Sus scrofa: one gene and its partners. The protein of the gene in region 5 binds, or shares a complex with, the protein of the main gene of each other region. Links are inferred from orthologs where the notes say so. Each region holds a gene or a part of one and is shown on either strand. Other genes may lie near its edges. The genes, in order: HDAC1, LIN9, CHD4, CDK2AP2, RBBP4, LIN52 and RBL2.

Evidence for each region.
Region 1: RBBP4 (region 5) and HDAC1 share a complex: the UniProt entries of both Homo sapiens proteins name them as parts of the core histone deacetylase (HDAC) complex. The link is inferred for Sus scrofa from reciprocal best matches to the Homo sapiens genes RBBP4 and HDAC1.
Region 2: the proteins of RBBP4 (region 5) and LIN9 are in contact, whole or in part, in a crystal structure (PDB 7N40), measured with the Homo sapiens proteins. The link is inferred for Sus scrofa from reciprocal best matches to the Homo sapiens genes RBBP4 and LIN9. Residues at the interface, in NP_005601.1 of Homo sapiens: Ala11, Glu14, Arg15, Val16, Ile17, Asn18, Glu19, Glu20, Tyr21, Lys22, Ile23, Trp24, Lys25, Lys26, Asn27, Pro29, Phe30, Leu31, Tyr32, Asp33, Thr37, Ala39, Leu40, Glu41, Trp42, Pro43, Glu75, Pro87, Asn88, Asp89; in NP_001353174.1 of Homo sapiens: Phe107, Arg108, Asn111, Leu112, Lys114, Leu115, Lys117, Ala118, Lys120, Trp121, Ile123, Tyr124, Glu125, Trp126, Phe127, Tyr128, Leu135, Phe136, Asp139, Asn140, Asp141, Phe142, Cys143, Leu146, Arg156, Lys157, Leu158, Thr159, Arg160, Val161.
Region 3: RBBP4 (region 5) and CHD4 share a complex: the UniProt entries of both Homo sapiens proteins name them as parts of the nucleosome remodeling and deacetylase (NuRD) repressor complex. The link is inferred for Sus scrofa from reciprocal best matches to the Homo sapiens genes RBBP4 and CHD4.
Region 4: RBBP4 (region 5) and CDK2AP2 share a complex: the UniProt entries of both Homo sapiens proteins name them as parts of the nucleosome remodeling and deacetylase (NuRD) repressor complex. The link is inferred for Sus scrofa from reciprocal best matches to the Homo sapiens genes RBBP4 and CDK2AP2.
Region 6: RBBP4 (region 5) and LIN52 share a complex: the UniProt entries of both Homo sapiens proteins name them as parts of the DREAM complex. The link is inferred for Sus scrofa from reciprocal best matches to the Homo sapiens genes RBBP4 and LIN52.
Region 7: RBBP4 (region 5) and RBL2 share a complex: the UniProt entries of both Homo sapiens proteins name them as parts of the DREAM complex. The link is inferred for Sus scrofa from reciprocal best matches to the Homo sapiens genes RBBP4 and RBL2.

Annotation. Positions count from the first base shown.
Region 1 is NC_010448.4:88,783,166-88,785,720, reverse strand, and holds the end of HDAC1 (histone deacetylase 1), read right to left. Parts: coding exon 2,494-2,555; intron 2,396-2,493; coding exon 2,265-2,395; intron 2,023-2,264; coding exon 1,870-2,022; intron 1,404-1,869; coding exon 1,355-1,403; intron 1,096-1,354; coding exon 1,068-1,095; 3' UTR 501-1,067; downstream 1-500. UniProt on the Homo sapiens protein: Histone deacetylase that catalyzes the deacetylation of lysine residues on the N-terminal part of the core histones (H2A, H2B, H3 and H4).
Region 2 is NC_010452.4:14,139,028-14,142,527, forward strand, and holds part of LIN9 (protein lin-9 homolog), read right to left. Parts: intron 2,527-3,500; coding exon 2,407-2,526; intron 2,118-2,406; coding exon 2,016-2,117; intron 1-2,015. UniProt on the Homo sapiens protein: Acts as a tumor suppressor. Inhibits DNA synthesis. Its ability to inhibit oncogenic transformation is mediated through its association with RB1. Plays a role in the expression of genes required for the G1/S transition.
Region 3 is NC_010447.5:64,088,627-64,092,126, reverse strand, and holds part of CHD4 (chromodomain-helicase-DNA-binding protein 4), read right to left. Parts: intron 2,678-3,500; coding exon 2,440-2,677; intron 2,274-2,439; coding exon 2,098-2,273; intron 1-2,097. UniProt on the Homo sapiens protein: ATP-dependent chromatin-remodeling factor that binds and distorts nucleosomal DNA. Acts as a component of the histone deacetylase NuRD complex which participates in the remodeling of chromatin.
Region 4 is NC_010444.4:5,023,844-5,028,055, reverse strand, and holds CDK2AP2 (cyclin-dependent kinase 2-associated protein 2), read right to left. Parts: upstream 2,801-4,212; 5' UTR 1,892-2,800; coding exon 1,810-1,891; exon of another isoform or gene 1,590-1,809; intron 1,503-1,589; coding exon 1,402-1,502; intron 1,304-1,401; coding exon 1,171-1,303; intron 813-1,170; coding exon 745-812; 3' UTR 290-744; downstream 1-289. UniProt on the Homo sapiens protein: Acts as a component of the histone deacetylase NuRD complex which participates in the remodeling of chromatin.
Region 5 is NC_010448.4:88,985,794-88,989,891, reverse strand, and holds the start of RBBP4 (histone-binding protein RBBP4), read right to left. Parts: upstream 2,801-4,098; 5' UTR 2,516-2,800; coding exon 2,500-2,515; intron 1,933-2,499; coding exon 1,785-1,932; intron 1-1,784. Other genes in the region: ZBTB8OS (protein archease), read left to right, coding at 3,321-3,417. UniProt on the Homo sapiens protein: Core histone-binding subunit that may target chromatin assembly factors, chromatin remodeling factors and histone deacetylases to their histone substrates in a manner that is regulated by nucleosomal DNA.
Region 6 is NC_010449.5:97,380,621-97,384,819, reverse strand, and holds the start of LIN52 (protein lin-52 homolog), read right to left. Parts: upstream 2,801-4,199; 5' UTR 2,464-2,800; coding exon 2,433-2,463; intron 1-2,432. Other genes in the region: ALDH6A1 (methylmalonate-semialdehyde dehydrogenase [acylating], mitochondrial), read left to right, coding at 3,039-3,086.
Region 7 is NC_010448.4:31,799,218-31,803,444, forward strand, and holds the start of RBL2 (retinoblastoma-like protein 2), read right to left. Parts: upstream 2,801-4,227; 5' UTR 2,689-2,800; coding exon 2,449-2,688; intron 1,453-2,448; coding exon 1,322-1,452; intron 1-1,321. UniProt on the Homo sapiens protein: Key regulator of entry into cell division. Directly involved in heterochromatin formation by maintaining overall chromatin structure and, in particular, that of constitutive heterochromatin by stabilizing histone methylation.

The DNA of each region.
Region 1 (2,555 bases), about 200 kb from region 5:
TGGGGAGGACAGAGCCCCTGTCTAGGTTTTTATAAATGTCTTACTCAAGTTCGAACCTCCAGCTTGTGAATCAACTGTCTCTTTTTTGACTTGGTAAGCAAGTATTAAGCTTTGGGGTGGGGGGAGGTCTGTAATGTGAAACAACTTCTTGTTGTCTTTTTTTTTTCCCCCTCCCATTGTTGTAAATAACTTTTAATGGCCAAACCCCAGATTTGTACTTTTTTTTTTTTCTTTTCTAACTGCTAAAACCATTCTCTTCCACCTGGTTTTATTGTAACATTTGGAAAAGGAATAAATGTCGTCCCTTTAGTGGTGCTTTTTAATGAGTGGTCTTCTGGGGTAGGGTAAGAAGACTGGTTAACCTCAAGCCTTGAGGAGGGTTAAGACAGGTAAGTCTGTGGGGTTTTTAGGTTGTTGAGGGGTTGCCCAGATCCTCGTGTACACTTAAGGGCAGGGAAGTGGAAGTGAAATGAACCCAGGGATACCACTAGGAGACAGGCTCAGGAGGGTATAGAAATGTACCATTTTATTACAAAGATTCGCACAAAAATGGAAATAGTATCTCAAAAAGGAACCTAGACTACCAATCTTCACCTGCAGAATTGGGGGAGGAAGAGAGGGCAGGCAGTGTGAGTTTCTTGGCTCACTGGGGGGCAGTGGAAAGGTATGAGAACAGAACCAATCTAAAAATGGCTGATGTTACCTTAAGGAGCCTGAAAAAACAAGGAATCCCTGAAGACCCAGTCAACCCTTCTAAAATACTCGACGAGGGCACCCTTTCAAAGTTATTAGTCACGTCAAGATTTTGTCCTATGGCTGCTTAGGTATATCCCTTCCACCTGTTATGGTTTGAAATTAAGAGGTGGAGAGGGATGGATGGTGAGGCAGCTATTAGAAACCTAACACGTGTGCCCTAGGCTCAGGAGCCTGGTTCCTGTCTAGTCCCTGGGGATATTTATATTTAATATATTTTTATATAAATACACAGAAATAGAAAATATAAAATCTGAGGGGTTGTGGGATAAAGACGGGGAACTTGGCAAGAAGCCAGAATTGGAGAGGTCTGTTCAGGCCAACTTGACCTCCTCCTTGACCCTGTGGAGAGAGCAGAGACTGGAATGAGATAACCCACCCTAGAGGCCTTGAGGCCAAGTATGGGTACAATGATTTCCATAGCGCCCGGGCTGCCCAGGTGACTGCTGAGGGCTGGGGCTTCCTAGCTCTGCCTAGAACTGCAGAGAAACACAGACTGGTCCCTGAAAGAAGCCTTTGTAAGCTGGACCAGCTGTCCCTGGTGGTGGGACAAAGGGGCTGGTGCTCCAATGCCAGGGAGATAAGACAGCTCCTTCCTTACCCTTTGGCTTCTTGCTTCTCCTCCTTGGTTTTCTCCTCTTCTGTGACTTCTAGAATATAAGAGAGCAGGGATGGCCAAGGGCAGCCCCTTTGGAAAGACCCATGGGATCTCCACTTACCCTGAAACCCTTTCCCCAACACTACAGCTGGCTGGACATACAAAAGAGAAAAGCCCATCCCAGCCCTCCAGGCGAGCCCTGTAGAGAACAAACAGGTCAAACCGGTTTCCCAGCCTGCTAGAGCCTGAACCCTGTGGGTGGAGGCAGCCCCCTGGGAAAGTGGGGTGGTATCTGAGAGCCACGCTCCTGACCACCGGGAGCCCAGGCATGTCCCTGGCTCTGGGGCCTGGGAGGGCTCAATCAGCCAGTGAAGACGAATTGAGTTTCATCCTTTCGGAGAAGAGGCCTACAGGAGCTGGCAGGACCCAAGTCAGCGCCCTCCTCCCAGTGTCCTACATAAATTCCTCCTCGAGGGCCTGGGGCTCAAGACCCAAGTCCTGGCCCAACCCTAACCCACCTTTCTTCTCTTCTGGGTCCTTCTCTTTCTCATCTTCTGTTTTGACTCTCTTGGCTTTTTTGAAGTTGGAAGAGTTCTTGCGACCACCTTCTCCCTCCTCATCAGAGTCAGAGAACTCTTCCTCACAGGCAATTCGTTTGTCCGAGGAACAGACTGGGAGGTAATGGGAAATATGGGTGAGAGAGAAAATTCTTTATCTCATGGTCTGCCCAGTGCTTTCCTGCATGTTCCCCAAAAGACATCAAAAGGGAAAGGAAGCTAGACTCCTTAAATTATAAGCACAGGACCTCGAGTTTCTCAACAGGTGGTAGCTTGTGGAGAATGTGGAGCCAGGAACAATGCAGGGAAGACAGAATTGCCTACAGAGTGGTAGGGTGGGGGCCCCTGGGTCTCACTTGAGATGCGCTTGTCAGGGTCTTCTTCATCCTCATCGCCACTCTCCTCTGGAATGGCATCCTCAGGAATGGCCTGCATTTGGACCCCAGGTGCATGGGGCAGCATTCTCAGGTTCTCAAACAGTCGCTGTCTATGGCCAATGGTAGAGAGGTGGCTGGGCTCTGATCAGGGACCAATCAGAGCCTCGAATGTTAAACGAGGGGTGTTGGGGTGGGGGGATATACTCACTTGATCTTTTCCAGGTACTCATTAGTGTTCTGGTTAGTCATATTGGAAGGACTGATGTGAAG
Region 2 (3,500 bases), on a different chromosome or scaffold from region 5:
AGATTTTGAAGTTAAAACTAAGCACTGCAATCAAACATTTAAGCACCAATAAAAATATCAATACTTTAGAAGTAGTGCACTAGTATTTAGCTTCTTACTCCCTCTACTGGTAAGTCTCTGTGTCTCTCCCTCCCTCCCTTCTCTCTCTCTTCTCCCCTCACCACCCTACTTGTCCGAATATGACATATTAGCTCTGTTTTACTTCCACTATTAAAAGAAAGAAAGTCTTTAAAAAATAAGTGTCCTATTTATGAAAATAATAAGCCTTCACTCTTTCCATATTTTAAACTTTTCATTTAAAAATATCTTATCCATCTTTGGAAGCCAAAAGGCATAATTCTGTATTCCAAAGATAATGAACAACATATAACTAAAGAATAAAAAATGCTATACATTGGAGTTCTCGTCATGGCTCGGCGGATGAATCTGACTAGTATCCATGAGGAGGCGGGTTCAATCCCTGGCCTTGCTCAATGACTTAAGGAACCGGCATTGCCCTGAGCTGTGGTGTAGGCTGCAGATGTGGCTCAGATCCCTTGTTGCTGCAGCTCTGATTCTACCCCTAGCCTGGGAATCTCCATATGCCAAAGGAGAGCCCTAAAAAGACTGAAAAAAAAAAAAAAAAAAAGAGCGAAAACAAATACTATATGCATACACACAAATGACCAGACTTTTCCTCAAAATAACATTAACTGTAAAAGGTAACACTGTGAATATTTTAATGGATTGTTAGACACATTTTTATTTATAAAGACTCTATCCAAGCCACATAGTTTTTCTTTTCAAAAAAAGGAAAGGAGGGAGTTCCTGTCATGGCTCAGTGGTTAATGAATTCGACTAGGGACCATGAGGTTTCGGGTTCGATCCCTGGCCTCGATCAGTGTGTTAAGGATCCCATGTTGCTGAGGCTCTAGCATAGGCCGGCAGCTAGAGCTCCAATTAGACCCCTAGCCTGGGAACCTCCATATGCCATAGGTGCGACCCTGGAAAAAGCAAAAAGACCAAAAAAAAAAAAAAAAAAAAAAAAAAAAACCACACACACAGAAAAAAAAAACACAAGGAAAGGAAAAGACACAAAACAAACATGATTAGACTGTGATTCAAAGTAAGTAATTTATTTACTATAATCTTCAAAACAAAGAGCTCATTCTATTCTTCTGAGTTGAGTCAGGCTATTCAGGAAAACTGTTCTATATAATAATTCTAACAACACTGTAAGTCAACTATACTCCAATAAAATTAAAAAAAAAAACAATTCTACACTTGTTTCGATTTACCATTAGATGTCTTTGTGTCTAATTACTAAGTACTTAACAAATGAATAGCTATTTCTAGTCAGAAAAGAAAGTTCCTCCTAACCAGAGAGCTGGCCAACATATCATAATTGTTGAGGTGCTGATAATGCCAGGATGCACTGAGGTTACTAAATAAAAACTTATTTATTTATTTTTCTTATTTTTTTTCTAGGGACACACCCATGGCACATGGAGGTTTCTAGGCTAGGGGTTGATCTGGAGCTGTAGTTGTTGGCCTACACCACAGCCACAGCAATGCAGGACTAAGCTGCGTTTGTGACCTACACCACAGCTCATGGCAACATTGGACCCCCCCTTAACCCACTGAGCAAGGCCAGGGATTGAACCTGTGCCCTCGTGGATGCTAGTCAGATTAGTTAACTGCTGAGCCACAACGGGAACTCCAAAATTTTATAGTCTACAATTTATTAACAACTAAACATTCAGTTTCACAGGGCATATGCCAGAATGTTAGAGTCCTTAACATCGCAAAATAATAAGAACCAAACCCAAGAGAAGTCTAACAAAAAAGACCACTAAGTCTTTTTTGGCTGTTACCCCTTATTTTCAAGCTTTGTTGGAAATAACAGAGTTCTTAAAACCAACACAATAATTTTTAAAAGTGCAAAAATATTTGGTCCTAGAAAAATTTTCAACTTTAATAACACAAAAGACTTTTTTTAAAAAACAAATAACTAAAATATTCAGAGCAATTCTTACCACTTGGATAAGGAATTCTACTGGAAAACCACCTAATGTTTCAGTGTCAGAGCCAGAAATTTTACTTCTCCAAGGTGACTGTCCTAATAAAGGATCATTATCCTACGGGAATAAAAGGGAATGATTTAACCATTAACTGTTCAAAAGAAGTATCTTATTTTTAGATAAAAATCAAACTCTACTATAATTTTCTGTTAAAAACCCTACAAAAAGAAAAATATTTCCAGAGTTGGAGCAACTGTTTTATTAACTATTTTATTTAATATCTGACAACTCAAAATAATGTGGGCACCTCCTGAAGTTACTGCAACAGATGTATATTTCATAAGAACAAGTTTACATGCATAATAATCATTTAAATTATTGGTGCTATTTAAAAAATATTACTTACTGTAATTGGTGACTGGAGAGGAGGAGTATAATGTAACCGTGGTGGAGTCATAAAAAATCGAGAAGGCCGCTGTTTTTGTCCAAAGGCAGCAATTGGCATGGTCTCATGAGAATCATTACTCTTTGGGAAAAGAGAACAGTCCTGACAACTTGAAGAACTTTAGCAATCATTTTAGCTTTGTAAAGACTTTACTTCAGCTTTAAATGTACACTAGTTTACATGTTAGGATTTATTATAAAATATATTAACCCACAAAGATCAAAGGGCTAGAACTTCTTTTTTTTGTCTTTTTTAATCTTTTCTAGGCCCGTACCCACAGCATACGGAGGTTCCCAGGCCAGGGGAATCGGAGGTATAGCAGCCAGCCTACGCCAGAGCCACAACAATATGGGATCCAAGCCACGTCTGTGACCTACACCACAGCTCACAGCAACACTGGATCCTTAACCCACTGATTGAGGCCAGGGATCGAACCCGAAACCTCATGGTTCCTAGTTGGATTTGTTAACCACTGAGCCACAACAGGAACTCCAGGGATAGAAGTTAAGTCAGAGTATGAATAACTACTTTGCAACTAACAGGCTGAACCCACAAAACAGAAGAAAGTGATTTATAAAAGAAAAGAAAGTGACCTATGACCTTGGTTGTCTCTGTGTTAAAGATTATCTGAATATTACCTCCTGTAATTAAAGTCAGTTCTTATCTGGCCAGGGAGAAATGTTTGGGTGATCTCATAAAAGAAATTACATTAATGAAACAGAAAAGTTATTTTCCTTTTTTGAAAGGGGAGGTTTAAAGTCTTTATCCTTTAATGAAAAAATTTAAGATTGGTGTACTTTGCTCTGTATTTAGTCCAAATTTTCTTTCTCTCTTACTCCTTTCTAAAAGTACATTTGAGTTCCCATCATGGCTCAGTGGAAAAGAAACCTGTCTAGTATCCATAAAGATGCAGATTCGATTCCTGGCCTCACTCAGTGGGTTAAGGATCCTGCACTGTTGTGAGTTGTGGAATAGGTCGAAGATGAGGCTCAGATCCCACGTTGCTGTGGCTGTGGTGTAGGCCGGCAGCTATAGCTCTGATTCGTCCCTTAGCC
Region 3 (3,500 bases), on a different chromosome or scaffold from region 5:
TTTAAATATATACAAGAGGAGTTCCCGTCGTGGCGCAGTGGTTAACGAATCCGACTAGGAACCATGAGGTTGCGGGTTCGGTCCCTGCCCTTGCTCAGTGGGTTAATGATCCGGCGTTGCCGTGAGCTGTGGTGTAGGTTGCAGACGCGGCTCGGATCCCTCGTTGCTGTGTCTCTGGCATAGGCCGGTGGCTACAGCTCCGATTCGACCCCTAGCCTGGGAACCTCCATATGCCGCGGGAGCAGCCCAAGAAATAGCAAAAAGACAAAAAAAAAAAAAAAATATATATATATATATACAAGAAACTGAAAATATCATTTGTCCTCAAGGAGGGAGCTGGGTGGCCAGAGGAATGGGGTGGGAGAGAGATACCTCTGTATTTTTTGAATTTTTTTTTTTTTTTGGTCTTTTTTTTTGCCATTTCTTGGGCCTCTCCTGGGGCATATGGAGGTTCCCAGGCTAGGGATCCAATCAGAGCTATAGCTGCCAGCCTACACCACAGCCACAGCAACGCAGGATCCGAGCCACCTCTACCACCTACACCACAGCTCACGGGCAACGCCAGGTCCTTAACCCACTGAGCAAGGCCAGGCATGGAACCCGCAACCTCAAGGTTCCTATTTTTTGAATTCTGAACCAGCTGAATTACAGCTGACTCCTGAACAACACAGGTTTAAACTGCACAAGTCCACTTACACATGGATGTTTTTCAGTAGTAAATACAACAATGCTACACGGCCCATGGCTGGTTGAATCTGCAGATATGCAGGAACTACGGATATGGAGGACCAACAATAAGTTGCTCAAGGATCAGCTATACTCCTATTCAAAAAACGAAATCTAAAAAGGCTATAAAGTAAAGAGCAGCCACAGCCACTAAAGAGAATGTGGGCAGCATCCCTGTGTAGTCACTAGCAGAGGTGATCAGTGGGAGGGAGAGTACACTTCTCTCATCCAACCACTCAGCAGGTGCAGTCACCACTGACAGGAACCAGAGCGCCTTACAGGAGGGCAGTTTTGATTGAACACTGTTGGTCTACAGACCCATCAGACTTTGCAGCTACGGTTACACCCAACCGATGTTAGCAGTAGTAGTGTCACTCAAGATAATAGGAAGGTATGAGAAAAACACAGCAAGAGGGATGGTTCCAAGTTGGAAGGATGAGAAAAAGTGGCAAAAATCACCAGCAACCTGACCCAGGTAGCTTAAAGGGGACAGGAAGAAAAAGCAATCTTTTTTTTTTTTTTCGTTTTATACCCTATACTACTTTGGGGAAAAAAAAATCATTACAGAAGCCACATATTTTTCTCCTTTTTAAGGTCACATCCACGGCACAAGGAAGCTCCCAGGCTAAGGGCTGAATCAAAGCCACAACTGCCATCCTCTGCCACAGCCACAGAAATGCCAGATCCAAGCCACATCTGCAACCTATGCCACAACTTGAAGCCACACCAGATCCTTAACCCACTGATCGAGGCCTGGGATCGAATCTGCATCCTCATGGATACTAGTTGGGTTCTTAACCTACCGAAACAACTCCTACAGAAGCCACATATCACTGAGGGCTGTTTTTTTGTTTCTTTTTGCCATGCCCACAACATGCAAAAGTTCCCAGGCCAAGGAGCCAACCCACGCCACAACAGTGACAACCACTGAGTACTTTTTATCTTGTACTAAGAAAACAGAAGAGAAAAAAAAAAAAAAATTCTGTTTTAAAAAGCACAGGAAGATGGTGTAAGTATTTTATCTCATATCTTATCTCCTACCTTTTCTCTGGAGAGACTGGAGATAGTAATCCAAAGTTTACTTATAGAGCTAATAAAATACATGAAAGAAAAGAAAACGAGATTCCGATAAAGAAGAGTTAATATAAAGTTGTGTGAAATGCAGCCATGAATTTCTGGATAGCCACGTCAAAGATGAGAATGTGATTTGCTCATATGTTACAGTATTTCTTTTCAAAGGAAGAGATATATCAATTCATCAATGTACTAATTTGCCTACAGATGTCTCCCTCTTCTCTCAGATACCACTGTGGTCAATTCCAATTTCTGGACCAATCACCAAGCACAGCACTGCCTTGGACTCATACTCACCCCCATTTCTTCCTCTCGCACCACATACTGGGCCACTTTGAAAGAGCTCAAATATTCGTTCATGCCCTGCAATTCCGTATCCTCTGTCTCATCCTGGTTCCGGTCCAGCAGTCGTTCAATGGCCTTATCGTCATAGTGGATAACACTGCTGTCTTCTCCCTCTTTGTTGTCTCCTCCTATAAAGAATCAGGGGTCCACACCCCCAGTTAGCTTCAGCAGCTGCAGTGGAGAAAGCAAGTCCCACAGGACCCAAGGTCTGAGTCTCAGGACCATAGGTACCAGAGAAAGATACCCTTTAGAGAGGCCAAGCCCCAGACCAAAACGAGCTCCTGACTAGCTCACCTCCATCTGTGGCTTCATCCTTGAATAATTCCTCGGTACCAAACTTGAGGATGTCATCAAGCTCCTGTTTGGACATGGAGCCAGTCTTAGAGCCCAGCCCAGGCCGAACAACTAGATGTGTCAGCATCATCTTCTTCTTCGCCACCTGGGTGATGCGCTCCTCCACTGATGCACGAGTCACAAACCGATAGATCATCACCTTCTTATTTTGCCCAATACGGTGAGCTCTGCTAAAAGCCTGGAGTTAGGCACAAAATGAAGCCGAAAATTGAAGTAACTGTATTTTCTTACTTCTACTTTGGCCTTGACTTCCACATAACATACTAAATCTAGCACAAGGTAGGAGCTAGTTTGCCTTCATTCGTACAAAATTTCCTTTTGCACCTCTGCTCCCAGACACCACCCTCTATCATGTTACCCAAAATAGGACCACAGCTAACCCAAACTTTCTGGCTTACAATAAAGTAAAAGACATTTAAAAAGAATATATTGTAGGAGTTCCAGTCGTGGCGCAGCGGAAACAAATCCAGCTAGGAACCATGAGGTTGCAGGTTCGATCCCTGGTCTCGCTCAGTGGGTTAAGGATCCAGTGTTGCAGTGAGCTGTGGTATAGGTGGCAGACGTGGCTCGGATCCAGTGTTGCTGTGGCTGTGGGGTAGGTTGGCAGCTGAAGCTCCGATTAGGCCCCTAGCCTGGGAACCTCCATATGCCGCAGGTGCAGCCCTAAAAAGACAAAAAAAAAGAACATATTATAGAGTTTCCATTGAGGCTCAGAAGGAAAGAATCTGACTAGCATCCATGAGGAGGCAGGTTCAGTCCTGGCCTCGCTCAAGTGGGTTAGGGATCCAGCACTGAGGTGACCCATGGTGTAGGTCACAGACATGGTTCAGATCCCGCACTGCTGTGGCTATGGTGTAGGCCAGCAGCTGCAGCTCCGATTTGAGCCATAGCCTGGGAACCTCCATGTGCCGTGGGTTTGGCCCTAAAAAGACCAAAAAGAATAGAATGTATTGTTTCCCCCTGAAACAACATATTCCAGCTGGTGGGACTCTTACATAGAA
Region 4 (4,212 bases), on a different chromosome or scaffold from region 5:
TGGAGGCAGCCAAGGCCCTGCGCTGCCCCCTGGTGGCATGACTGTGAAGGAGGGCAGGGCTTTCAGCCACTGGAGCTCAACCCTCTCTACTACTTACAGGTGGAAGAGGCAGGGGGCAGCGGCAGACAAGGGCAGGGTCCCACCAAGGTCAATGGACAGTGGAGGCAAGGCAAAGCTGGGCTCAGTGGACCTCTCTCCCACCCAGTGCACCACCCCGAGTCTCCTCTTTGCCCTCCTTCCTGGCCCACCCAGACTTACTAGACGCAGCAGACTCATAAAGACTACAAGCTGAGAGAACAACTCCAAATTATCTTTTATTTATACAAAAAGGGCATATTTAGCAAAAGACACACCGAGAAAAGAGTTATGGCCTAGGAGACGAGGCAGGGAGGCGACAGGCCTTCTGAGGCTCTGCTGGGGGGAGAAGGGGTCTGGGAAAACGGTAAGTCCTGGGTAAGTGCTGAGCGGTGGGGCCACAGAAAGGAGAAAGCCCCAGCTGGATCAACACTGTTGGCAGGTCATGGGTGGGACTCCCAGGGACCTCACTGCTCCCTCTTTTGGGGGTTCCAGTTACTGCTGCCGACTGGAGTGAGAGCCGCCCACTGGTTCCTGGAGGGCACCCACCAAAGGACACAGGACAGGAAGCCCAGGATGGGAAGTGCAACTCGGGGTGAAGGCCAGGGAGAAGCAGGTGCTCTGCAGTGGCCAGGAAAGGTCCAGACGCCGAGGAGGAGTCGAGTCCTGTTACGTGCGGGCGTTCCGCTCTGTCTCTGCCAGGCACTCTCTGACTAGGGCCCGGGCATGGATGATGCCTGGGGTGAGGATGGGAAAGGAACAGATGAGGCCTCAGTGACCCTCCATAGCCCCACACCCCCCTCCAGAGGAAGACCCCCCTCCCTCCCTACTCCCCTTTCCTTTCAGTGAAAGGGACTATGACCTAATGGGGGCCTGGATGAGATCAGAGGTTCGGTTAATGCTCAAATTTGCCCCGGTGAAATACAAATTCTCTGGACCTTCCCTGGAAACGGACTCGGCTGCAATTCACTGCAAAATGCCTCTGTGGACAGTGATACTGGCCCTAGTCTACGCTTGGCTCAGGTGGCCTCCACCTGTCTTTCCTTCCCAGTGTTAAGTCTCCTGGGCAGGGGTGGTGGGCCTGGCCTCACTCACCTCTCTTCAGGCGCTCCATGGCACTCTTGCTGCCAGCATAGGTGGGTCGGATCTCTTTGCCCATCTCCTCTATGACCGACAGCAGGTCCGTGTAAGTGCTCTGGGAGCCCTGGGCGCCAGGTGGTTTCATTGCCTGTGTCAAAGGAGAACACGGCAGTGAGCTCAGGCCAAGAGGGGGGCTCCAGTCCTCCTCCACAGGCAATCCTATGGAAGATCCTAGGCTCCACTCACCTGCACATAGCCCATGGAGGGCGGTCCAAAGTCGTTAAACAGAGGTCTGAAAGGAGCAGCAGCTCCCGGCACCGAGCCCGACGGCGATGGGACACTTCCAGCTGCAACAGGCGCGAGTGAGAGGTCAGCGCGGGGTAGGGACGCCTCGTCCCGGCGCTCCAAGCCCCGGACCAGATTCGCCCGATTACCTCCAAAGGGATGCTTGGCTTCACGCTGCTAAACTTCAGGACAAACCCCTCCCCCTGTGCTTCACCAACAAGCCCTACGTGACCACGCCCACATCACAGGCCAGTAAACTGAGGCTCAGCGAGGGTAGCCGGCAGGCCCACTACTGCAGAACTCAGGCCGTCCTCTCTTCGAGACCTCCACCGCCCGGACAGGCGAGCAGGGGTGGAGCTGGATCCTCACCTGTAGGGACCGGGGTGCCGGGCCCAGGGGTGCTGGAGCCCGGGGTGCTGCTGGGGGCGGGGGCGATGGGTTTGTAGGACATCCCCAACTCCTGGGTGCGGCAGACGCCGGCCGGCCGCTCCTCCCGGGTTGGCTGCCTGGCCGCTTAGCTGCGCTCTGATTGGCAAGCCGGCAGCACGCCCCTGGTAAATAGAGCTCAGGCCGGAAGGGCGGGCGGGCACGAAGGCTCCTTCACTCCTGATTGGTGCGCGAAGACGTCACTCGGGCCTTGTCATTGGCCGAGGCCGGCCCCAACAGGCCGCAACCGCTTCTGATTGGTCTCCGCCTTCCGGACCTCGCACCTGTCTGCTCCGGATTGGGTAGTGGTCGATGCCCTCCGCAATTGGCGAGTTCGCGGCCCGGGCCGGCGCGCTCTCAATCCGATTAGTCCCAAAACGCGAGAGGCGGAGCCTCGGAAGCCGGACCTGGGTCCGGTCCGCCGCGGTTCGAGCCCGGCGGGGCTTCCCGGGCGCGGTTGTCGTCCTCACGCCTCACTCACGTTGCTTTGTACGTCACCTTTCCGCTGCCGTCCCGGTTCAGCTGGGGCTGCTGTCGTCGCCGCCGTCGCCGCCGCTGCCGCGCGCGCGCGCGCGCCTTTCCGCCGCTCCGAGTGCGGGAGGACGCAGGGCTTTGACGTTCCCAGCCCTGCGCCCCACCCCGTGCGCTTTTACGTCACCTTTCACCGGTTCAACAACCTGTCCCCGACCCGCGCATGCGCCCTCTTAGGGCCTCGTTTGTTCCCATGGCAACGGACCCCTCACCAATGCTGCTGACACGCCTCTTCCTCGCAATTGCCTGGACCTCGGGTCCTGCCCCTCTTCCAACTACCTGGACCTCAACCTGCCCTCCTCCCCCAAGGCCCCACGCCGGTGCCCCATAATGATAATAGCGGGAACAGCTAATCTTAAATACTTACGGCATCCCGGGTTCTGTACCACGGACGGTCCTGGATCAGGGACTACAGCAGCATCTGGGGTCAGACTGATGGGTCTAATCGCACCCTCAGCCCCCACCCCCACTTGCCCTTGGGCAAGTTACCTCCCTAGGCCTCAACTTCCTCATCTGTGAAATGGGGACGCTAGGAACAACCATCTCCTAGGATTGTTGTGTGGATTAAACGAATAGTCATAAAATGCTTATGTTTCATTCTCCTCTTCCCTATCCATTTCTCTATCCAGACCCCTCTCCTCAAATCTCATTCCTCACAACCTGAGATCTTAGACTCTCCTCCAAACCGTAACCCTTTTTTCCCAGGCTACTTCTCAAAACCTCTCTGGCTTTGTGTACCGGTCATGTCCAGGACATTCATTCATTCGTTCATTCAGCAAACATTTTGATTCCATCCCCCATCTTCGGCTTTATGCTGGACACTGATATGGAAGTGAACTGGCCATGGCTTCTGTCCTCCAGGAGCTCCTAGTCTCAAGGAGAGACAGACAGGGAAGCAAAAGCACACAATGGACTAAGGCAATGTGGAGACTGGGACAGGGAGCATTGGAACTTAGGGGAAGTGTGACATCACAGAAGTTTTCCCAGAGAGGCACCACTCAACAGGTGAATGGACAGATAAACTGAGCAGTCGCCATACAATCAACTATTATTCAGCAATAAAAGGAAATCATCTATCTATAGCCTTGAAAAGATATAGACACAGTGCTGAGAAGCCAGTCTGAAAAAGCCACATACTGTATGATCCCAAATGTACGGCATTCCGCAAAAGGCAAATTGATACAGAAGGTAAAAAAAATGACTGGTTGCCAAGGGTGCTGGGGTGAGGGGGTGCTGGGTAGAGGGGGGAGGGGTAAAATTGAACAGGGGGAGCAGAGGGGATGGGGGGGCATGAAGTGATTATGTATGATGCTGTAATGGTACATGCAAGACCTTGACAGTTACCAAAGAGTAAACTTTTTCATTTAGAAGGTCAGGCGATCCGAGGGTGGAAAGCAGAATATGACAAAAGAATCTAGCTGTATTGCAAATGTAGGAACAGCCTCACTGAAGGGGGTGGGGGAATCAGGTGCTAATCTGGAAATCAGTGGAGTCTGGAGGAACAAAGACAAAAAGATCTGCACGTAAGCACTGGACCCTGGTTGATGACGCGGTTTCCCATGGGGGATGGGTTGACAATTCTGAAACCACTGCACACGTACACTGGAATTCAAAATTAAATAAGTGTAGAACGAATGGCTTCTCACTGTTGGAATGAGGAGTTACAGGTAGCAAGGGAAGGAGGTTAGAATAGTCCATGGGCTAATGGATTGGAGTTGGAGCTCTCAATAGGAGCTCATGTTTAGCTTGACATAAATACAGTTGGTTACATACAGAAATATTTTTTTCTTTCTTTTTACGGCCACACTCACGGCA
Region 5 (4,098 bases):
CTGTAGCACATCAAGTTCCCAGGCTAGGGGCTGAATCAGAGCTACAGCTGCCAGCCACAGCCACGCTCTGAATCTGAGCCACATTTGCGACCTACACCACAGCTCACGGCAACACTGGATCCTTTAATCCACTGCCAGGGGCAGGGACTGAATCCACATCCTCATGGATACTGGTTGGGTTCGTTACTGCTGAGCCACAACGGGAACTCCAGATTTCCCCATTTTTAAAAAGCTACTACGAAAGTAGCATGCTCATTAAGTTGGCAATGAAATTTCTATAAAATTTCTATTACTTGTTGAGCTGAAACATAGGCCAACAACCACATTTTACAAATATCTTGACTCAAAAGACCTGAGTTCTGAAGGAACCTAGTTATTTAGCATACATATAACTTTCAGCTGTTACTCTGAACACCAACAGTTTTGTAATAAAAAATCCATTATTCCCCCAGGCACGCTCAGTTTGTTAAAGCTTTATACTACTTAAAGTCACCTTCCTTTTCACACTGTCACTTCCCACTGAAAGCCTTTCCTGATATTCCAAGTTGAGATAATTTTCCTTTCTCTGATCATTTTATCTTTGCCACTTTCATAATTATACCTGCCTATTCACTAGACTTGAAAGCAGGTACCATGTCACATTTACCTTTGCATTAACTAACTAGAAAATACCACTGACTGCCGAGATTCAAACATTTTGATGTTAAAAACTGAACTCATCCTGATAGTTTCTGAAAGCTGACAAGTTTTACATTACCATTTGGTCAACTACAGCTATAATCCCACTATTCAATTCAGTGTTAGGAAAAGGAAACATCTCCCACACTGCTGGTGGGAAAGCAAACTGGTGCAGCTATTATGGAAAACAGTATGTAAATGCCTCAGAAAACTAAGGATAGAGTTACCATATGACCCAGCAATCCTACTCCCCAGTATATATCCAGACAAAACTATAATTCAAAATGATACATGTACCGCTATGTTCACAGCAGCATTATTCACAATAGCCAAGACATGGGAACAATCTGACAGATGAATAAAGATGTGGTACATATATACAATGGAATACTACTCAGCCGTAAAAAGGAAGAAATAATGCCATTTGCAGCAACCTGGATGCAATTAGATGATCATACTAAGTGAAATCAGAAAGAGAAAGACAAATATCATTTATATTGGAGAGTCTAAAATATGACAAACCTATCTACAAAACAGAAACAGACTCAGATATAGGAAATAAATTTGTGGTTGCCAAGGGGGTTGGGAGAGGGAGCAGGAGGTGGGGGTTAGCAGATGTAATAAGCTAGTCTACACGAAAGTGGTAATAAACAAGATCCTACTGTATAACAAAGAAAATTATATTCAGTGTCCTAGGAAAACCATAATGGAAAAGAATATATATCCAAAAAAAAGTGTACACAGGAAACTGTGATTGGGTCACTTTGCTATACAACAGAAACCGAAGAAGCATGGAAAATCAGCTGTACTTTAAAAACATAACTGAATCACTTTGCCGTACAGCAGAAATTTACACAACATTGTAAATCAGTACCTCAATAAAAACAAGTAAATAAAAAGAAAACATCAGTATGTTCTCTCTTATATGCTAAACTGCAAAATAATTTTACATTTTGCCTTACTTTCTGGCCTAGGAAAAAAATGTCACCAATAGGCTTTGATCACGTGTCCTCTACGGGTGACTGGAGAGAGGAAAACAGGGAAAATCAATGTGAGAAATCTACACTGAGGACACAACAAAACAGCATTCGAGAGATTCCTATCACCTGGTTACATCTGGAAGCCACTGTGCAGTTAGGCTGGGCCACTCCAGAGCATGGGTCATCACCAAATCGTAAAGAAAAGGGGTGTTCTTTTTCCATATTTTGTACTCTTCGTTGATCACACGTTCTTCTACTGCGTCATCAAAGGCTGCTAAAAAATTAAGAACAAATTAAGTTAGCGACCACAAACGGAAACCGAGTAAACACTTCCAAAGCTACCGTCACGGCTCCTGAATCCTGATTCTGAAATGGAGATTAGTCTAGATCTCCCGGAGGCGCAGGCACCACCACCGCTCTCCAGCTTCGCCGGGCGGGAACTGCTCGGGTAATCCCGACCAGACACTCCGTTAGCCCTTCGGGCGACGGCGCCCGCCGTCGAGCGCACAGAACCGACGGTGAGACCGAGCACCGACCCCTGCGGGTAGGGAGAGCGGCCGGGAGGACCCGGAGAGAGGCAGGTAGACCGACGGGGAGCGCGGGAGGGACCAAACACCCCCCCCGAGGCCACCACGGCCAGCCTCACACCGCTGCGCCGGGCCTCCGCTCCAGAGGGGCTGGCGCGCCATGAGCCCGCCCCGCGGGGCGATTTTTCCTCACGCCTGCGATGGCGGGGACGGCCCTAGGCAGAGTCTGGCCTGCCCCCACCGTTAGGCCGCGTTGAGGCCGCGGCGCAAGCCTGACTCCTCCCGCCCTCCTGGGGCGGCCCCGGCACCCTCACCTTCCTTGTCCGCCATGGCGTACAGGCAAGCCGGGGGGATCCTGGGGCAGAGCGTTGCGAGAGGGGCGGGGAGGCTGCGAGCGCTCCTTCTGCGCGCGCGGCCTCTATTGTTTCCTGCTGCCCCTGCGTGAGGGCCGACTCGCGCACCTTCGCGCCAACATCGGCCAATCGGAGTGCGCCGAACGTCGGTGTGGGCGGGGAAGCCGCGATCGCAGCCTATCCAGACGCGCGGAGCAGCTTGCCTCCAGGCCCAGGCGCGCGCTCTGCCCCTGCCCCCACACGGCCCCAAGCCGACTTCCTCCGATCACGCGCGCGCGCTCGCGCGCGCGGGAGTAGTAGAAGTGCACCCGCCCGGGGTCACGTGAGAGGTTTAGTCCGCACGCTTTTGGGGGCAGCCATTTTCGTGAAGGGTGTTAAGCTAGCGACCCCTTCAAAGTAGTACTTTAGATGGGAAAATGTAGGATGCTTCCGGGTCTAGTTATCTATTGTGGGGCTAGGCGGCAAGAAAAGGCCTCTATCATTCAGATCGAAAGGTGTCTAATTCGTGTCCCTTATTCCACGTCCTCCAAATTATTTGTTTCCTTAGTCGTAGGAAGAACTATTAAGCAAGAGCAGAAAGTGGGTCCTTCGACTTTTAATGATGTGCTCCAAACCCTGGGACACAGAACGGAAGTCTAGAAGGATTAAGTACCTCCCAGGGAATGGAGCCCTGGTCCTTTAAGGGTGTGCCAAGGGGCGGAGTCTAGAGCGGAAGTTATAAGTCAGGGCCGAAGTCCAGCTGAAGAAGGGCGGAAGCTGAGTTTGGGTCCAAAAGCACAATCATGGCGCTGGAAGGGGAAGATTTTAGAGATTACAATTTGACTGAGGAGCAGAAGGCGATCAAGGCCAAGTATCCTCCAGTCAATCGGAAGTACGAGTGTGAGTAGGTGTCTCACTTCTCTCATTACCTGGGGCTTCTGGCCTCGCCTTCCACTTTGTCCCCTACGGTACTTCCGGCACGTTCCCTTTTAGCCCTGTTTGTCTCTTCTGTGCTTGTCCCGCGGATGCTGAAGGGAAAAGCCACCCGGTCTGAATCGGAAATCTGGGCTTCCACATTTAGTCTTTTGAACTTTTTCTACGTGTGCCTATTCACGCTTACTTTGTGGGAATTTTATTGGTGTATTAATTCTAAACACAACCGTGTTTTCAAGCGTTTGCGGAGTTGTCGTCTCCTAAGAGTGTGGCTAGGTTAGGGGACTGAAAGCTCTCAGTAGGGAACTTCTAACTTGGTGTTTTACCTGTATCGTGTTAGTAAAAAGACCTGGTTTTGCCATATTTAGTTAAGTGACTTTAGGCAAATCACATAACCTTTCTTTGCATTCAGTTCCTTCATGTGAGGGATAATTGAGATAAAAATAAATGTGAAAGTGTAGTGCAGACTCTGAAGTTCTATATAAACCTTAAGCTATCATCCCTAAAGGTGGCTGTGGTCTGGGAAGGACTAATCTGACTCTAATATCCCTGCTTAAAATATTTCATTAAATTCCCCTTGTCTTCAGTATAGAATCCAACTATTTACCATAGCTTACTAGGCTTAGTTCTTTCTGGACCCTGTATGTC
Region 6 (4,199 bases), on a different chromosome or scaffold from region 5:
AAGAGAAGGGTGAAGCTCTGTAAAAGATGAGCATGAAACTTTTAAAAATTAAATGTGCAAATAGAGTGTCAGTGGAGATGGCTAGAACACCAAAGGGGAAAAATACACTTCCAATATTCTCCCTGGCCAAAGAAAGGAAAAGAAATTGAGAGAAGATGGGGTAAAATCAAACATGAGGAACAAAACTTAAAAATATAAAAACAACTTTGGTGTTCCTGTCGTGGCTCAGCGATTAATGAATCCGACTAGTATCCATGAGGACACAGGTTCCACCCCTGGCCTCACTCAGTGGGTTAAGCAGCTACAGCTCTGATTCAGTCCCTAGACTGGGAGACCCCTAGCCTGGGAAACTCCATATGCCGCAGGTGTAGCTCTAAAAAGAAACAAAAAAATATATATGTATACACAACTTAGTAATAAACTAAAATTTTTAAATAGCAATTACTTCTACTTCTCTCCCTTGGCTGGTTTTTTAAAATTGTGATAAGATATACACAACATAAAATTTACCATTTTAACCAGTTTTAAGTGTACAGTTCAGAGGCATTAAGTACATTCACACTGTTGGGTAACCATCATCACTATCCATTACCAGAACCTTTTCACTTTCCCAAACTAAAAGTCTATACCCATTAAACAGTAGCTCCTCATACCCTTGGTTAACTTTTTAAATGTCCTTTTTTTCCAGGCAAAAAAAAAAAAAGCACATTTTAACAAGAGAGCACCCAGGCAGAAGAATCTCTTTTGACTCTTTTTTTTTTTCTCCTATATTTTTGCCATTTCTTGGGCCGCTCCCGCGGCATATGGAGGTTTCCAGGCTAGGGGTCTAATCAGAGCTGTAGCTGCCAGCCTACGCCAGAGCCTCAACAACTCAGGATCCCAGCCGTGTCTGCGACCCACACCACAGCTCACGGCAACGCCGGATCCTTAATCCACTGAGCAAGGCCAGGGATAGGACCTGCAACCTCATGGTTCCTAGTCGGATTCGTTAACCACTGAGCCACAATGGTAACTCCTCTTTTGACTCTTTACACCCATAATTTCCTCTGCAGTACGTACCCATGCTCAAAAAACTTAACACTCAGTTAAAACTTAAGACTAAGTAATACATTATTTATGTATATATCTAATCATTCATTCAATAAATGTGAATTGAAGACCTACTTCCTGCCAGGTACTGTGCTAAGCCCTGGGATCCAACTATGAACATGACAGTCTTGGAATTTACAAGCTAGTGTGAAAGGGGCAAAGTTAACAGAATAACTATGCTGTGGATGAGGGTACTGAGATAGAATAATGGTGAAGTGAGGCAACTCCAGAAACAGATACAGTGTTCTGGGAAAGCCTTTTTGGGAGGTGACATTTAAATGAAACTGAAAAAATATTACATGTTTGATTAATCTTTTCCTCTCCCAAAGCAATTAGAATAATAATGCCTTTCGAATAGTGGATCTCAGCATAGCTTTCCAGGCCTCAACTTCCTCATTCTTGAAATGAACTTCCAAGATTCCTTCCATACACAAAATTCCTTTGTTTGAGAGAAAACTAAGTATAAGTGAAATGGACGTGGAGATGCAAAACTGAGTTTAGAAACGACTGCAAGCATTTTGTCGAGGCAAAAACTGAGCTTAGAAATGACTGCAAGACCCTAACCCTAAAGCAGAACGGAGCGCAAAACCCTGTGGATATACCAAAACCACTTAATTGCTACCTCAGATGACTTGCTTCTTATACAACATATAAGCAGAAATCATTCATTCACTCAGCCTTAGGAAACAACACATAACATAGAAGAAAGACGCTGAGTGAATGAATGTGCATGACTACACTAAAAAGCTCAATTGTCATTTTCCTAGGGACTCTCACTGAGAGGGACCAAGAGGGGTCTCCTGCTTCCCTTGCTGCCAGAACAACGGTCCCAATCCGAGGAGGGAGGAGAGAATCACATTTTCCTTGCGGTTCAATCCCGAGATTAGGTCTGCCACCAACCCTAGCTAGCGTGAGAGAATCGTTCCAGATGCTCAAAGAGAATCGAACCTTCAAAGGGGCGCCCTGAGAAAGAGAAAGCTACACTGAGACACCTCCTTTACCCCAGCAGTATCTCCTCCTTGGCCCTCAGCCTCACTCAAATGCGGCTAAAGGAGGACCAGAGAGGCCCTCCTTGTTTTGCCCGGAATGGGTCCCAATCGGGTGCCCTACTCCATCCGCCTGGCACACTGCAAAGAAACTGGGCACCTCCGGAGCCTCTGTGAAGAACCAGCGAGCTGAAGACGCACCCACATACCGTGGGAAAGTAAAAGGGAAAGGCGAGAAGGCCACGAAAAAGGTGTAAGTTAGAGGGGCAGACGGAGAGATTCTCTCTGAGCATCTGTAAGTTCCCAGGAGAACAGAGAAGGAGGTCGCAAGCGAAGGGTCTATAAGCCGGCTCTTACCGTCTGTGGGAGACGCCATCTTCCAACCCATGTCACGTGACGTTGCCAACCGTCGGCGGGAAAGCTAGGGTCCATAAGCCACGCCCCCAGAGAGAAACCCTATTCCCCAACCCTCTGTCCTGTCTCGTTTCCCCGCCCCATAGGGTAATCTTCCGTAGCCCCGCCCCCAGGGCTAGCCACACCCCCTCGCGCTGTGGATGTGCTGGCGCTGCTGAAAATTCTTGCAGAGTCCTATTTACTTTCCTCAGTGAGTGGGTGGGGCTGCGGCCATGCCTGTGGCCAATCGGAGTTCCGAATTCGGGGGCGTCTTCCTCGTGCTCTCAATATAGAGTATCCAAGTCAGGGGCGTCTTCCCCACCTCCGCCAGCAGAATTTGTTGAGGCGGGAGGAGGCGAGAGCTCTATCACTTCTGACCAATCGCATACGCCCAGAACTGGGCACTGAGGGCGTGGAGTCAGTGTTAAGGCGTGTGATTGGCTAGGGGAAATAGTCCTCTCCACCAATGAAGAGGTTCGGCAGGATGGAGGGGCAAGGCCTAGCAGCAGTAGTGTTTCTGGACAGTCTCACAGAAAGGCGTGGGGGGCTGAGAAGAGGCAACCGAGAACCATGGCGGCGGTGCTGGCTGCGGCGGCAGTGCGGGCCCGGATCCTGCAGGCGAGTGAGGGTGGCGCCAAGGGTTCATGAAACTAGGAATTCAGTCCTTTCCATCCGCTTTGTGAACCAACCCCCCCTTGGCCGACCCTCCTATTCCCATCGGACCTGAGCGGCCCTGTCCCACATCTCACTCGGTATCCACTTGCGTTGGATCCAGCCCTGGACTATTACCCGTGGCCTTTTTATTCTTGAGCCTACCCCTTTCAGGCTTTAGACCATTCTCCTCCTCCAGCCGTGCCCGGTCCCTGCCCTCACCTCTGTAGGTCTGCCCACCGTCTTTCCCTTTCACCTCTGCACCAACCACCTCTCTGCTCCAGAAGCTCCTTTTCTGGTCGCCTTTCTTGGCATTCTCTGGGAGCGTCCAAATTGTTCCCTTCCCCAACCCTACTTCACTCTATAACCCGAGGTAAAGGCGTGGGCGGAGGGGAGGAGGAGGAAGGACTTGAGGGGTGAGGGTCAGTGAGTGAACTTTGAGTCTCCTTCTAGAAGTGCACACTAAGCTTTCCCTCAAAGCAGCCATTTGCTGAGCTATCTTCCCCAGCTTTGGCTCTGTATTTTCTTTTTTTCTTTTCTTTTTTTTGTCTTTTTGCCTTTTCTGGGGCCGCACCCGCGGCATATGGAGGTTCCCAGGCTGGGGGTCTAATCGGAGCGGTCTTCGCCGCCCTACGCCAGAGCCACAGCAACGCTAGATCCGAGCCCCCTCTGCGACCTACACCACAGCTCACGGCCACGCCGGATCCTTAACCCACTGAGCAAGGCCAGGGATCAAACCCACAACCTCATGGTTCCTAGTCGGATTCATTAACCACTGAGCCACGACGGGAACTCCGTGGTTCTGTATTTTCCACAAGCTAGGCTGTCCTCTTGGCTTGCTGAGACTTTGAGTTTAACTTTTGCTCAGCCAAGTTAGTGTTTATGTTGGCGGTGAATAAGGACACATAGTTAATGCTACCCGGTTTGTTCCAAGCACATGCAAAGGACTAAACACCTCTGAAACAAGTGGCAGAAAATAAAAGCCAAGGAAAACAGGTGTAACGTTCTAAGTTCCCACTCCAAAATCACCTTAGTGTGACTCAGTTCTGCCCTCAGAGGTGGGGCTGGGAGTGGAGGTGG
Region 7 (4,227 bases), about 57 Mb from region 5:
GCTATATGCTGCAGGTGCAGCCATAAAAAAAGAAAATAAAAGAAAGACCACTTCTCTTTTGCAGGTTTACAGCCCAGGTGTTCAACTCTTTATGTACTCCCTCTTGTTCTTAGGCCTAAATATAACTCAGGATGAAGTTCAAGGTTAATAAATAGACTAGATGAAGTTCCCACTATGGGGCAGTGGGTTAAGAACCCAACTGCAGCAGCTCAGGTTGCTGCAGAGGCACAGATTCAATCCCCAGCCCAGTGCAGTGGGTTAAAGGATCAGCACTGCTGCAGCTGCACAGGTCATAGTTGTGGCTTGAATTCAATCCCTGGCCTGGGAACTTCCATATGCCATGGGTGCAGCCATTAAAAAAAAAAAAAAAAAAAAAAAAAAAAAAAAAAAAAAAGGCCACAGCTAAAAGATTATAGTTCTTGTAATTTATTTTACAAATTTATTGTAAAATATTTTAATAGTGATTTTTTTAAGCCATTAGGAAGATAAATTTTGGTATTTCCTCCAAAATGCCAAACATTCTTTTTCCACCAGTCTTTAATTTGAGAAAATTAACTCAAAAGGCATAAATGATAAATGTAATCAATCAACAGAAAAAGCAGTTTCTACCTCCTCTTTAAAACACCATTTGAACTTTTGTATAATTGATTATAACACTGTTGCTTATCCTCCAAAGAGGAAACTAAGTATTTACATGTTCCATATATAAGATACAAGTCTTGTGTACGTAGCTCTAAATTTAACACCATATAATATTTTATTACCTTTTCATTTTAGAATATCCTTATTTAGAATTCTCCCAATATTACATAAGGATGAGTCATAACCTTTAATAGTAAACACTTTATACAAATGCCCAGTACATTAAAATTTAAGGAGTTCCCATTATGGCTCAGCAGTAATGAACCCAACTAGTATCCATGAGGATGTGGGTTTGATCCCTGGCCTTGCTCAGTGGGTTAAGATCTAGGGTTGCTGTGAGCTGTGGTGTAGGTCGCAGATGCAACTCAGATCTGGCATTGCTGTGGCGTAGGCCACAGCTCCTATTTGACCCCTAATCTGGGAACTTCCATATGCCACGGGTGTGGCCCTAAAAAGCAAAATAAAATAAAATAAAATGTAAATACTTTTTGACAAATAAATAACATATAATGGATACTAACTTAGATGTGGTAAAGGAAAACCATGACCTAGCTTCTAAATTTAGCACTCCATAGGTACAAATGCTCAGAAAATAATAAATAAAGAGAATTCTCATGGTCACTGTGATTTATAAGCTTTTATATTAGTCACACTACAAACTCTAATATAGCTGAGTTACCTCTGCTCTGAACATCTCAGGATTCTGGTTAAAGATACATAGTTTCCCTCAACTGTTCCTTTGCTTACAGTTGGCACAGATTTTCTGCAAGCCACGTATAAGGCACATGCTAACCAATGAAGATCATTTCCCTGTAACATAAAAGAAAACTGATTTTAGTTAAATAACACCTCAGTTAGACCTTCCCATTCTGAGCCTATTCGCCTACTTGCCATAAACTATAAAATAACTTAAGAAAATCATATGGCCTCCTGTTTAAATACCACTCAAACAGGCAGTCAAACAGCAGATAAACAATGTAGACTTCCGTGTCACTTCCCATTGGCCCATAAAGGGGAGGTGCCTACAGAGTAGAGCCTCACTGGCTAGAATGGCCATTTTTCTCCTCTGCAAGCCCCGTCCAAAGAAAGAGACAAAACACACCTTGATCACAGCGACTATAAGAGTCCTGTGCAATGTCTGGGGGGACCAAAAGGTCCCCAAGGTCGCCCCATTTCTGACTTCCTAGAGACGTGAGTCTATATCTAGGCAGGCAGAAAGCTCGTTTCTTTTGCTCTACGGAAGATTCGTCTTTGTTTACACATACATAAACACAGCCCGAAACGTTAACAATGTACTCAAACGGATACACTGCCTGAACGAAAGCAATTTGCTACAAGAGGAAAAGAACTGAAGAAGCCTGGAAACGCAGGCGCTAAAATCGGGTTAATCTCGGTGCGAACGTAGGCAAGTCCCTGCACCCCACCCCCACCCCCCCGAGTATGGTCTTGATCTTGACAACTGCACCTGTTCATTCTGCCAACAAGGTGGTTGTGTTTTTGTAATTGGACTCCAGCCCAACCTCAGCCTCGCAGTGCTACTTTAGGGCAAGGGCTGTTCTCCCTTCGGAACCGGAGAGGGAAGAGCAGCGAGTCAGGGTTCACTTTCCGGACCGTCAAGAGTTTTTCAAGAGCCAGGTTTCCAGAACGAAGCTGCGCAGAGAGGTTTCCCTCCCGGCTCAAGGCTGGGGTCGGCCCGGGGGATCCCCCCGCAGGGCGTCCTAGCCGGGGTGAGATGGGGCCCCGTCCCCGGAGGCGAGGCGCGACCACTAGGCCCAGAAAGCCGCTGGTCTCCTCCCCCGGGCTCACCTCCAGCGTGTAGCTCTCGCTCATGCTCCGGTAGCTGTCCCAGGCCTCCGCCCGCGCCGCCTCGTCCATGTTCAGTCGGCTGCACAGCTCTTCAAACCGTTGCTGGGTCTGAGGGGCTGGCGACCGAGAAGGCTGCGCGGCGTCCTCCGCCTCGCCATCGTCTTCCTCCTCCTCGTCCGAGGCCGCCGCCGCCGGAGGGGGAGGAGGGGGCGGCGGCGACTGGTCGCCTCCCGACGGCATAGTGCACACCTGGGCGGCCGGTCCTCAGGTGAGCCGAGGGCCCGGGCCCGCAGCCATTCAAACCGCAAAGCGCCCGCCTGTCCGCCGCCCGCTTCAAGACTGCGCCGCCGCCAACGGCGCTAGACCTCACGTCGGCACCCGTAGTTCCGAGTGAGGCCTGCTGGGAAATGTAGTCCAGCCCACGGGGATCAAAAATCATATTTTAAAAATCATCTCGTGTCGTCTCCCTCCGGGTTAAATAAAAGGGACTTTTGTATATTTCAGGTACCTCCTCATAGAGAGACCATTTTTGCAGGGCTGTATTGAAGAGAAACCATCCAAGAAACATTGACTTGAGAAGGTGTAGTGTCCAAGATGTCCCCAGAATACCCATCACCTGCGCGTCCTTATCTAAAAAATAAATATTATAGTAAGAGTCTGCCTAAATTCAAATTTAGGGGTCTCTTTTAGTTTTTTACTGTTTTTAAATTTCATGTGAGACTTTCAAGTAATTATTGGATTTTTTTTTTAAGTATTAATTCTTTTTTCCCCATAGGGTGAATTTATCTTCACCTACAGGTGACTGTATTTGTACTATTCTTAGTCACTCCGTTGCTTTAAATTCATTCTTTTATTTTCATTTTGCTATCTCTGTTCAAATCTTTATGAATCCCTATATTTCCAATCCTTATGGATTTACAGGGGGTACAGTATAAAACATTTTCATGCACTAGGAGTCTTAAGGCATTGAAGTTTTGTATGGGGTCACTTCTCTCTCTCTTTCCACTGAATCTCTAAACCCAGCCACCATACTGTGAGGAAGCCCAGGTCCCTTGGAGAAGCCTCTTCTCCAAGAGGAAGCTTTCATCAGTGAAAGGGATGAAAATATTTTATTCCATCACTACTGACATTAGGGGGAAGAACTGGGTTCTGTTTTGATTTGTGCAGAGATGATTGAGGTTTTAAAGGAGAGATGAAGGAGAAGAGATGGTGCGAGAGCAGAGCTCAAGAAAAAAAAGTAGGAAGGATTGGTGAGTATGAATGTGATTAGGCCACCAGGTTCTGCTAGTTGTCAGTTTGTTGAAGTTAGAAGACAGCCCTCCCTGGAGTTCCCATTGTGGCACAGTGGGTTAAGGATCCCTGGCCTTGCTCAGTGGGTTAAGGATCTGGCGTTGCCATGAGCTGTGATGTAGGTCGCAGACACGGCTTGGATCCGGAGTTGCTGTGGCTCTGGTGTAGGCCAGCAGCTACAGCTCCAATTAGACCCCTAGCCTGGGAACCTCCATATGCCGAGGGAAGCGGCCCTAGAAAAGGCAAAAAGACAAAAAAAAAAAAAAAAAGAAGAAGAAGAAGACAATCCTCCCACAGAGACTGGGAGATGAGGCCATATCCTTCCTGATGACTACATTTCAAAGGAATATGTACAGGTCATTAAGAAAAACACCCATGATATGTAAAAGATGCAGTGGGCCCTCAGTCTGCAAAGGTTGTGCATCCACAGGTTCAATCATTTGTGGATCAAAAATATATTTTTTATGAGTTCCTGTTGTGGCGCAGCAG